Linked DNA regions of Coturnix japonica. The protein of the gene in region 1 binds, or shares a complex with, the protein of each later gene. Links are inferred from orthologs where the notes say so. Each region holds a gene or a part of one and is shown in the gene's direction. Other genes may lie near its edges. The genes, in order: CDC42, ARHGAP1 and FMNL2.

Region 1 (3,519 bases):
TTAATTACTGCATGGGCTGTAGTGCTAATTACAGCAACATCGGAGACCTGTGATTTATGCTTCTCTGGGAGGAAGGTGTTCCTGCCCCAGTTTTATCTGTTTCCCATCATTAAGAACTGTAAGCTGATGTACAAAGGATTGGGGTGATGGCTGCTGCCTCTGCTTGTGGTTTCTTATGTGTGGGGTCCCTCACAAAGCTTATGGAAGGGCCTCTATTAAAGCTAATGGAGGGGTCTCTATTAAAGCTTATGGAGGGGTTTCTATTAAAGCTTATGGAGGGGTCTCTATTAAAGCTTATGGCGGGGTCTCTATTAAAGCTTATGGGGGGGTCCCTGATAAAGCTTATGGAGGGGTCTCTAATAAAGCTAATGGAGGGGTCCCTAATAAAGCTTATGGGGGGGGTCCCTGATAAAGCTTATGGGGGGTCTCTATTAAAGCTTATGGGGGGTCCCTGATAAAGCTTATGGGGGGGGTCCCTAAGTGCCTCTGGCCTATTGGCTGCCTCTTCTTGGCTTAGCCTGCCCCTAATGCAGTTTTGGGTCCATAGGGTGGGAGTTGCATTAGGAACAAGGCACCAAACAGCGGCTGGGAGAGGCCTGGGCTCTAACTAACCCTGCTGGTGACCCACATAGCGGCCTTATCGCCCCTCCGACCCAACCGGCCGCACAGGCCTCGACTGAGCAAACCGGAAGCGCGCTCCGCCTTCTCGTTCAATACGCGATGACGTCACCCGCAGCGTCCCCCCTCCCAGCGCTACGCGATGACGTCACCCGCAGCGTGCCCCTGCGCCTGAAGCCGAGGAGACCCCGCAGCGAGCCGCCAACGCCCGGCGGAGACTCTGAGGTGAGCGGCCGCGGCGGAGCGGGGCGGGAGCGGCGGGCGGGTGTGCGGGCTGCACCGCGCCTCTGTACCGCCATCACACAGCGGGGGCGGAGAACCGGGACCGTGTGGGTGCGGGCTGTGTGTGTGTGGGGCCTCCCCGCCGCTGGGTTGGGGCTGTTGGCGCAGAGCGGGGCTGAGGTGTGTGTGTGTGTGTGTGTGTGTATGGGGGGGAGCGCGGCCTACGCGGCCCAGCTCGGCCTCCTCCTCGTCCTGCCCCCCGCCCGGCACGGAGCGCTGGGCCCTGCGGGTTGTGAGCCCCGCAAGGGAGGAGGGGAAGCCGGAGGTCGGTGCCGCAGGTTGGGCCTGTGCTTCTTCCGGGAGCGCCGCCCAGCTCTGAAGTAGTTCCGAGGCGCAGTTGGGGTGTGGGCTTTGCTTTAGGAACCGCCGAACGTTTCCTTTCCTTCCCTTCCCTCTCCTCCTTCTCCCTATAAAGAGCTGGGAGGCGCTGCCCGGCTTTTGTCTCGCCCAGGTGCTGGGTCATCCGCCGTCCCGTTGATGTATATGGCTGGTTGTTGGCTGCTGTGCTTGGAGGGTTGATGTGGGGGGGGATTTCTCTTCCATCTTTGAGCTCTCTGAGATGAAATATAGTGTGGCCCCTTTCATAGTAGCTTTTCTTGTAAGCTGATGGTGGTGGTGGCCCAGGTGTGTGTGGAATCTGTGCTTGGGGGAGATAAGGATGGTACCTGCCCCATCTGCCTGCAGGCTGCAGAGCCAGCACTGCTATCTAACCATATAGACTGAGCACCATGAAGGCAAGGCCTGGATGAGAGGCTGTGATAGACGTGCAGGCCAAAGTAGTTCAGTCTGTGATTGCATCTGTTTGTATTACTTCTACCATAAAGAAAGAGAATCACAGAATCACAGAATGACCTGGATTGGAAGGGACCTCAAGGGTCATGTAGTTCCACCCCCCCTGCCTGGCAGGGCCACCAAACATACACATTTACTAGATCAGGTTGCCCAGGAGACCCCATAGATCAGGTTGCCCAGGGCTCCATCCAACCTGGGCTTGAACACTTCCAAGGACGGGGCATCCACAACCTCCCTGGGCAGCCTGTGAAAGAGATGCTGGCTTTATTCAAAGTGTTCCATTGGAGCACCCCAAATGGCCTTTTTTTAGAGGAATAATTAAAACCCAGGTTAAGTTTCTAGTGTTTCTAATGGGAGTAAGTCAGTAAAGCACTTGGAGCTTGGCTCTGTTGCACAGGAACAAGTTTAGATAGAAAGGCTTTGTATTCAGGTGTTTATATGTGGAAAATGTGTTGTTCTGGCTTGGAAATGAGTGAGATGATGGGGTGGAGTGTAGGCAAGTCTTCATCCGAAGCAGGTAACGCATGAATGAATCAATATGTTAATGTGTTTAATATTGTTAGTTGTGAAACGACTCTTTGTTCGGTCTGTTTACTGCTTATATGCTGCAGTAATAAGGACGCAAAGCATTTTAAAGCCTTGCTGAGGAATAAAAGCTGCAGGATAAAACACGCTTGCAGTACCAGAAGTGTCTTTAGATGCAGCTTTTAAGTCACCTACAGCCTTGCACACTGCAGCCCCTCAGTCCTTGCTTGCTGTGGCCAGCCCAGCTTTGGCTCCATCCATAGGCATGATGATGAATGTCAACCTACTCCAATTCAGGAGTGTTGGTATATAGGGGTTGTAATTATCCTCACACTTAATACTCAGTTTCTGATGAAAAACCAACAGATATGGAGGTGCTGTTGCATTAAAAGGAAGCGATATGGGTTTCTAGTATGTAGCAGGAGCTCTGCTTACACACTTAGTGCACTGTAGGCTTTGACCATGGCTCCTGTCACCCCGTTATGCTGGAATGCATGTGTCCATGGGTTCTGATCCAAGTTCCTTTAATGTGGAGTGGAAAGCATCAATGAGAAATCTCTTCTGGAACATCATTCCCAACAAAGTATAATCCCTTTATCAGCAGTGATATTGATAGGCCTGAGATAAGCACGCTGCTTCCTGCAGACAGTGTTGGGGCAGTTCCTACGCATGGAGCACCAGCAGCTGAGCCATGCACTGGGTGCTGCAGCTGATGTGCACAGGGTGGCTGCCCTTATGCAAAAGTGCTCACTGTGCTGCTGCCAGTGTCAGCTGTAGTGCTTCTAAATGTGTCTGGCTATAGGGAGGGGAGCTGGGATAAGCAGCCGTGCTTCTCAGGGTTTAATGTGGGATGACTTCTGCCTTCTTCTTTGAGTCCATGTGAAGGTGGTTCCTTTGAGGTCCGAGCAGTGAGCAGATGGGAACCTTGCTGTGCTGTGCCCACTGAGTCACGCTCTGCTTGACCAGGCTTGTTTTGAATGTAGGGCTGTGCAATGGCTGTTGACTCTTTCATTTCTTTTAAGTAGTAGGACTTAAAAGGTGTTATGTTGGCAGTGCTTTAAGCTCAGACTTCTAAAATTCTCCCACTCAGCTGCATTCACTTCCTATCTTGTGTATGTCTGCACTTATCAGCTTGTTGTGACGAGCCCTGCTGAATAGTGTGGTAGCTGTCAGTTCTTAAGTTGCATTAAGCATAGCATATATCAGTCTAAGAGCTGCTTTTTGAGGTGACACCTTGAGCTTCTCCCTTGGTAATTCATAGCAGCTCATCCAGAAAACAAGTTACTTCAAAATGATAGAGAC
Region 2 (3,813 bases), on another chromosome or scaffold:
GAATACCTGGGCTGTAGTGCTGGTTGTGCCATCTGTAGGCTTTATGACGGAGGAGCAGAAAAGTGGCAGAGAGGAAGCAAGAACATGAGAAAAAAGATCGGGAGAAAGGAAGAGAGAGGCAAAAATCTTCTGAGCGTACTGAAGTGAACTGTAAATCCTTACCTGGGCAGGTAAGGAACTCCTCAGCTGGGGACAGTGAAAATTCACTGTGCTCACTGTAGTATGCTACTAGTAGTGTAAGAAATGAAAGCAACTTTTAATGTTCTCAGATGCCAATGTAGACACTTTGGAAATGTTGCTTTCTTTCCTGCAAGTAACTACAATTGTTCTTCAGGACTGCGTTGCTGGGCTTCCTGCCCAGCTGTTCTGGCATCACTGGCCCACATGCCCATGCAAACACCGAGATGAACCCAACATGAGGAAAAGGACAGATCCAGGTCTCCTGAATGTGCCTCTTTTTGCCCCATCTCTAATTTTCTGCTGTGGATCCACAACCCACACCCTTGTCCATTTCTTCCCTGCACCTGCTGCTGGCTTTGATGTTTGAGATGGCCTTGAGGTGCTCATTCTCAGTCCCTGGCACTTTGGCTTGCCACGGCTCATGTACGGGAGAAGTGCTTTCCTCTCCTGGCAGCCTATGGAAGCATTTGGCAGCAGCCTCTGGGCTTCAACAGGGGACGTCAAGGACTCTGGTTTTGTCGGGCCGCATCCTGAAGAAGTAGGAATCGCCTGCACAAACACAGAATCACGCTGGGTGAATTAACCGGCTGTTGCTGGGTCAGAGCACAAACCTCGGGGAAAGAGGCCACTACCCAGCCATCCCAGGGCTCCGCAGGAAAACCATCACTCTATGACTTCATTTATTTAACGACAGAAGGTGGGCAAAGTCTCCCCTCACCGCAGAGGGCAGCTGGGCAGGATTTCTACCGCCCGTGGAGGGCTCGGTCCTGCAGCGGGCGGCTCGCCGAGGCCGCAGGCACGTACCAGCGGGGGCTCAGCCGCCTCCAGCTCCGGGCCACAGGGCGGAAGGCACCGGAGAACCGCGGAGGGCGGGGCGGTGTTTCCCCGGCGACGGGCAGCGCTTCCGGCGGGAGGCGGATGCCGGAGGGGCCGGGCGGGAGGAGGCCGCAGGTACCGGAGGCGGAGGGGGGTGGCGACACGGCTGTGCTCGGAGCAGCGGGGCCTGCAGGCCGGGTGTCAGCGGGCACGTACGGTGCGGGCCGGGCTGCTGGGGAAGGGGAGGAGCCGGACGGCTGGGCGGGAAGTGGCCCCGCTCGGGAGCCTGGAACGGGCTGCTTGCATGGCCGGGTGCACGGAGAGAATCGGCCTCGGGGCTTTGTGTTGTGGAGTCGGGAGAGCCTGAGGTCTGTGACTGAGTGACTGCTGCTGTGCAGTGCGGAGAGGAGCCCTCCCGTGGGCCGTACCTTGTAAGAGTTGTTATCCCTCGTGTTTTCATTACTGGGCGGTGTTTGCTGTGCGGGCTGTAGCGCGGTGCAGGAATTGTTTGGTGTGTACGGAAATACAGAACGTTTCTGCTGTTGAAGTGAAACCGGCGGGAGCTGCAGGTGGCAGCAGGGGCAGAAAAATAACGGCAGCACCGGAGCGGGGCGGCTTTTTGGTTGCACGTTGCTTTGTTAGGGGGTACCGGGCTCCTTTCTGGTGTGCCAGTGCAGTGCAGCAGGGTTGTGTGTAAGCAGCGTCCCGCTCAGAAGCGGTGTGAAGGTTGTGTTGTACAGGGCTGAGCTTTCCCTCCTGCACAACGTGCTGTTCTGCACCGCAGCTCTCATAGCAAAAATGGCCTTTTTCTTTGGCTGGAGAGCAAAGCACGTGGCTCAGCGAGTGCTGAGAGCGGCCCGGACAGGAGCAGAAAGCACTTGGGAGGAATGGAAGTAGTTGGCTCTTTGGAGAAGTGCTCCTAATGCCAAGTGTGGTTCTTTTGTTTGGAAATGTTGAAGTAGGCCTTTAACTTTTTAAATCTGGGATCATCATTGTGCTTGTATTTTGATTGGCTGTGCAGGGTGTATGCTTTGCGTCTTGCCATGCTATTTCTCTGCTAAATGTGACGTTCTTAGACCGTGTTATGTCTGGTGAAGTGCTGTTGTCTGACAGCTGTTTTGCCCTTATACTAATGCAGGATGGCCGTCCCAGTCAGCGGCAGGTCCAGCTTGTGGCTCGTTTTGAGGAGGTGGAAAAAATCGCGTGCAGTCACTGTCAGAAAACGAAGCATGTGGAGTTGTGAGGATCTAAACAGAAGGGCTGTCCTGGTTTCAGTTCCACGCTTAGTTTCTTACCTCTCAGCTCTCACCTCCGGATCTTCTCAGTGCCCATCAGTTCCTGGACACATAGAACGCTGTGTTTTTCTGAATCGCTCTGATGCGAGAGACTGTGTGCTTCTGTCTTTAGCACCAGTGGGAAAGGGCAGGGGAAGTTCTGTAGAAAGCCCTCTGAAGGTCCCTGGGGCTTCACAAGCAGAACCTGAAATCTAAGAGGTCTTCTCTGGGTTCTCTGCCTGGTGTGGAACTGTAGACAGTCCCGGTGACCTCCTCCTGCCTCATGGTGCCACACCAGCACTAATTGTAGGAGCGTGCCAAAGGGGAAGTCTGCCAGTGCTGTCAAATAGCCAACACTTATAGCACTGGTGGTGTGCTGCCAGTTGTCCCTGAAGCCAAGTTGTGGTCCTTGTAGTGAGAAGGAGGGAAACTTGGTGTCTTGCTGGCCTGGTGGCAGTACTATCGCTTTTCTTTGGGATGGTTTGGATTTGGTCCTTACGGGCATCAAGACTGCTTAGGGGGCACTGTTATACAGGGCATCCTCAAGAGCTTGGTGTAGAGGGCATCTCCCTGGGTCAGTGGCTGGCAGCAGCTGAAGGTAGGTAGGGCCTCTGCCCACTGGAGTGAGGAGTGCTTGAGAGCTGCATTAATCATGCCTTGTGCAGGGCTGGGCGGTGGGGCTGCTGAGCTGCAGTGGGAATGATTTCAGCTCACTGAGTCATAGGGATCAGTGCCTCGCGTTACCATAGAAATCAGAGCAGTTGCTAGGGGTGGGGAGTTGCTTGTCATTTGGCCCTGCTGCTGCGTGGTTCTGGCATGAGCTCATGGTTCAGAAGAACCTGATTTCTTGCTCTCTGCTCTTCTGAGAGCAGAGAGGTCAGGCAGCTCTCAGTCCTTGCAGGAGGGCAGGGAAGGGCCTTGCTTGGGCCTCTGCTTGGCTGCAGTGGTCAGACCCTGTGTGTTTGCCGTACAGCCTTGACCATCCACTGCCCAGATGCATCTTGCTCTTTCATATTTCGGGAATCTAATTTCATTTGCTTAGCAAGGCCCCTTGCCCTCTGGGAGCCTGAGAGAAGCGAAAACTGGTTGTAAAGTGGTGAGTAAGAGATAAGGGAGGACAGGAGGTAAGCTTCTGGAGTAGTCTGGGGGGAAGGGACAAATGGTAACTGTTCCATTTCCTTTTATGTCAAAATACACCTAGCGTGGTCTTGAGTGTTGCCCTGAACATGGCTGTGACACCTTCCAGTGCTTGGGCTCTTGCAGGTCATGTCTTCAGGGCTTGATCTTTTAATTTGGATGGATACACAGTCAAGCTCTAGGGATGGAAGATGCAATATATTCTTGTCCCCTCCATTCTGCTAAAGGAAATGGCTTTACTGTAATTATCTTCTTTCCACACAAAGTCAGTGTGCCTCCTCAGATCATCTGTTAGCTCTTTGCTCCCCTCGTAAGGCAAAACAAGCACAAGCCTGTCGGAGCAGCACTGTTACAGGGAGTCTTGCTGATGTAAGGTATCATTTTGTGTTCCTACAGTTCCTCTTGG
Region 3 (3,746 bases), on another chromosome or scaffold:
ATTTCTTCTAGCACACCGGTGGTGGAGGATGCACAGAGCTGGCAAGCATCACTTTTTACTTAGCTTCCTCCTCTCTCTGTATGCCCAAAGCCTGGCAGTAGCTGTGGCGTAGCATAGTGCTGGTGAGGGCCTGAAGGCAGCGGATGTTCAGCCCAATGGTTCCCACCTCAGTGTGGCAGGGGGTTGCTGAGCTGCTGGCTGGTCACCACCTTCCTGCTCTCTCTATTTTGGCCCTTCCATGTTGAGCCCGAGGTAGGCAGCCTCGTCCCAGGTTGTTTCTGCCCGTAGATCCCTGGCTGTAGCTCCCAGCTCCTGCTGCCCAGTGCTCTGCGGGTGTGTGGTGCTGCAGCCCTGGGAGGGGAACCAGTGATGGACAGTGGAGGCTGAGAGCACAGGGCAGCGTGGGTGGCTTCTGCTGTGCTGAGAGCTGAGGAGTCGGGCAGTGGGGCTTAGAGCAAGCTGTAAGTCATCCAGGGAGTACATGGGAGGGTTTCCCCAGCGAAGCACCCATTTTATTTTTCCCCAGAAAAAAAAAATTCTGCTTAAGTTACGTGTCAGGCGCACCAGGCGTGCTGTGTAGCTCATCTCCGTAGCACAAGAAGCCAAGCAGTCACCTGTCCTCACCACGCTCTTAACACGGGCTTTGTTAAACTCCCACCGCTGGCTTTCTCCATCGCATGCTCAGTACTGCCCTCCTCCCCGCTCCCAGCCCCAGTAGCAGCCCAGCCCTGCACCCCTCGGGTGGCAGCCGTGGCTGCAGGCTTGCAGGCTGGGTGCAGGGGGATGCCTGCTTTTTCTCAAGGCACCTTCTGGTAGTTGAGTGGGTGGATGGGCCATGTAGATGCATGCCTGTTTTGGTGAGCACTTATCCCATCATGTCCTGTGTTTCACGTTCACTGGGTTCCATCCTGCATCAGAGAACTCGTTCAGTGCGGGGCGGTGAGGCCGTGGCACTGCTGCCCAGAGCCCCAGGGGTGCCTGAGGCCGCGGGGCGGAACTGGGTGATCTGTAAGGTCCCTTCCAACCCTGTTCCCTGGTTCCGTGTCTCTCACCTTTGGGATTTAGAGGCTACACAAACAGTGTTAGTGAATACCAGCTGCCCATAGGAGGGCGAACATCCAGCCCAGTGGCACGGCTCCGTTAGTGCCCCCAGCACTGCCTGCTGCTCAGTGTGTTGCCATAGGGCCATCAGCTCGCTGTTGCGGTGGGGCCCACTCCCTCCTCCCGTTGCTACCCAAGCTGCTTTGACTGGCTTCCAGCAGCCCCGATCCCTGCGGCGCTGCGCGTGTGGTTTGAGCCGTGCCTGCTGACCAGCGCCGCTTTCCTCCCCGCAGATCTTCGAAACCAGCCGTACCGCCGGGCCGACGCGCTGAGGAGGAGCGTGCGGCGGCGCTTCGACGACCAGAGCCTGCGCTCTGCCAATGGCACCGAGATCACCATGTGAGCTGAGGCCTCTGCGGAGCCGGGCTGCCAGCGGTGCCCTCCCTGCCCGCCTTGGGAACAGTACGGTTACCCCCTAAAGGGCTCAGACACCTAGAAATGCATAGGAACGTCAGCGATGGGCTCTCCACTCAGCCGTAGCTAACAAGTGCCTAAAATGGAAGTACCTGCTCAAATTAACCGAAGCAATAGGACTTGATTTGATTGGGTATCTTTTGACACCAATACATTATTCAGTATTTTTAACCAAAAAGTAAAGTATGTGTTGTTTTGGGGTGTTTAGTTGGGTTTGATTATGTGAAAACTTAGCGATCGGTCTTCTGTTGGCCGGACCTGGATCCCCACTGGTTGGAAGGAGGTAACTCTGGATGTGCTCTGCTGCTGGGCTTCTACATGCATTCCTGTCCTTGGCCGAGGGCTGACCTTGGCTTCAGCTGCACTTACTGGCTTTTCTTTTGTTAAAGAAACAGAACACTTAAGGGCTTTCTGTATCTAGTAGGGAAATAGCGACAAGAAGAGCTCCGTACCTTGTTCCGCCATACAGACCCTGTGCGCCACAGCTGGACGTGGTAACGCAGTTGTGTGCTGAGGAGACCTGTGGGCAGGGAAGCTTTTGTTGGCTGTAAGGCTCGGGGTTTGGTGGTGTGCAGTGTGGGGCTGAGGCACGAGGGGCACGGGGGGAACCGGCACATTGTGATCGCACAGCGTGGGAATGGCAGAGAACGCATCGCCTGCCCTTCAGCTAGAGGCAACTTTCATCTAACAGTGTATTTATTAATTAGCACTAAGGTATTAACATCTCAGTTATCACCACTAGGGTTCCGAGGACCATTACAGCTCCATACTAGCACAGAGATCGCGTTAGTGCCCCATGCAGCTGCGTCTCCCTTTGACAATCGCGCTCCAATTCAGTCCCAGGGCTCACACATTCATCAGCTGCCCTGTGAGGTTTGCAGTCACATCCCAAAGCTCCCAACAGGCCGGATTGGCGCCCTGTGCACCCTGCATGGCCTGCAGCACTGCCTGGAGCCGGCCCAAAGGAGGAGTGTGGCCGCAGCCCTGTCTGTGCTTCCGAGCTCGTTGTGCTCACAGCTTCCCCTCCTGGCATCGCCGCCTCAATACGTTCATTGTAAAATTTATTGTATAGTATTTAACCACTGAATTTCTTTTCTTTTACGTTGTGCTTATGTGAACCACTGGTGAAGGTCCCGTTTTTCTTGGATAATGTGTAGTTATATGATAATCTGTTTTTAAATGTACAGATATTTTGCTACAAAATCGGTGCCGTTTTTTATGGTTTTTACACTCCTTTCACTCCCACTTTTGCCTCTGGGTAATATTGTAAATATTGTTTAAAAAGCAAACAAACAAACAAAAAAGCATCAGCCTGTGCTATACAATCCGAATGTCGACTTAACTTATCGTTTGTGTTTTTATATTTAACCGAGTGGGCAGCTGAGGGCTCAGTCACCGCATTGACCTCCGCTCACCCATCCACACAGCGCTCCCTTCATCGGCAGCCAGGCGGTGGTGGTCGGCGGTGGTCGGCGGGCTGGGAGCTCTGCTGCCTCATTCCTGTGCTCAAAGGTATTTTTCTTTTTTAAACCTAAGGCAGAAACGATCGTTGGACTGCAGTGCAACGCTGGCATGTTCTCTTTCATCTTTTTCTAGTCATAGATCTGCTTCTTAGCAATATTAGAAGTGTTTTATAAAAGCAGTTCATGTTACTTTCCTGGTCTGTTCCTGGCATAAGAGCAAATAAACTATTTACACTACTACACCGTAATCCATCCTTTCCTTCTTTTCCAAGTGACTTTTACAGCGTTTTCTTCCCCTGTGCTGGGGCCGTGCCCCATTGCTCAGCACTGCTATGGACAGAGAGAGGCTCCACGCTGCAGCGCAGCTCACCCAGGGCAGGAACACGGCTGTGCCCCAGCAGTCCTGCAGGAAGAGCTCCGCGCAGAGCAGCAGTGGTGAGTTGTTCCCCCTAAATGTGCAAAAAACCAACAGCAAAGTATTAGAGTCCTAAATGTACAGCGAGCAGCGCCATCCGAGCTGCGATCCAGGTGTCACTGACAGGAGGGTTCAGCAAAACAGCAGAACCAGGGCTGTCACCTGCAGCTGTCTGTCTGTCCATCCTTCTGCCATTTTTTGTACCAGAGCTGTTATAAGGTGGAAAAAAAAAGCCCACAAAAAGCCCCACAGCCCAAACATAAAGGTGAACATAAAGGTTCACCTTTCCAGAGCTTGTTTGCTCGGCCAGGCAGAATGCACTGAAACCAAAAGCTAAAGGTGAACTTGGAGTG

The links.
Region 2: the proteins of CDC42 (region 1) and ARHGAP1 are in contact, whole or in part, in a crystal structure (PDB 1GRN), measured with the Homo sapiens proteins. The link is inferred for Coturnix japonica from reciprocal best matches to the Homo sapiens genes CDC42 and ARHGAP1. Residues at the interface, in NP_001034891.1 of Homo sapiens: Asp11, Gly12, Ala13, Tyr32, Val33, Pro34, Val36, Phe37, Gly60, Gln61, Glu62, Asp63, Tyr64, Arg66, Leu67, Leu70, Ser88, Glu91, Asn92, Glu95, Lys96, Asn132; in NP_004299.1 of Homo sapiens: Glu278, Gly279, Phe281, Arg282, Arg283, Ser284, Ala285, Asn286, Thr287, Gln288, Asn309, Glu310, Val316, Lys319, Arg323, Asn385, Lys386, Met387, Asn391, Val394, Val395, Pro398, Asn399, Trp402, Ala403, Lys404, Ala406, Ala407, Thr409, Leu410.
Region 3: the proteins of CDC42 (region 1) and FMNL2 are in contact, whole or in part, in a crystal structure (PDB 4YC7), measured with the Homo sapiens proteins. The link is inferred for Coturnix japonica from reciprocal best matches to the Homo sapiens genes CDC42 and FMNL2. Residues at the interface, in NP_001034891.1 of Homo sapiens: Val36, Phe37, Asn39, Gln61, Glu62, Asp63, Tyr64, Asp65, Arg66, Leu67, Arg68, Pro69, Leu70, Pro73, Ser88, Glu91, Asn92, Lys94, Glu95, Lys96, Pro99, Glu100, Thr102, His103, His104, Pro106, Lys131, Asn132, Lys133; in NP_443137.2 of Homo sapiens: Ala41, Met42, Asn43, Leu44, Pro45, Lys48, Leu52, Tyr55, Lys59, Glu62, Leu63, Asp66, Gln67, Arg69, Phe70, Lys73, Tyr79, Arg108, Glu109, Ile112, Ser113, Leu114, Arg115, Thr116, Asn117, Ile119, Val122, Asp219, His222, Met226.

Annotation. Positions count from the first base shown.
Region 1 is NC_029536.1:5,530,743-5,534,261, reverse strand, and holds the start of CDC42 (cell division control protein 42 homolog), read left to right. Parts: upstream 1-719; 5' UTR 720-843; intron 844-3,519. UniProt on the Homo sapiens protein: Plasma membrane-associated small GTPase which cycles between an active GTP-bound and an inactive GDP-bound state. In active state binds to a variety of effector proteins to regulate cellular responses. Involved in epithelial cell polarization processes.
Region 2 is NC_029520.1:20,940,438-20,944,250, forward strand, and holds the start of ARHGAP1 (rho GTPase-activating protein 1), read left to right. Parts: upstream 1-1,028; 5' UTR 1,029-1,131; exon of another isoform or gene 1,132-1,213; intron 1,214-1,240; exon of another isoform or gene 1,241-1,427; intron 1,428-2,642; exon of another isoform or gene 2,643-3,366; intron 3,367-3,813. UniProt on the Homo sapiens protein: GTPase activator for the Rho, Rac and Cdc42 proteins, converting them to the putatively inactive GDP-bound state. Cdc42 seems to be the preferred substrate.
Region 3 is NC_029522.1:30,439,084-30,442,829, reverse strand, and holds the end of FMNL2 (formin-like protein 2), read left to right. Parts: coding exon of another isoform or gene 1-41; intron 42-1,334; coding exon 1,335-1,444; 3' UTR 1,445-3,226; downstream 3,227-3,746. UniProt on the Homo sapiens protein: Plays a role in the regulation of cell morphology and cytoskeletal organization. Required in the cortical actin filament dynamics.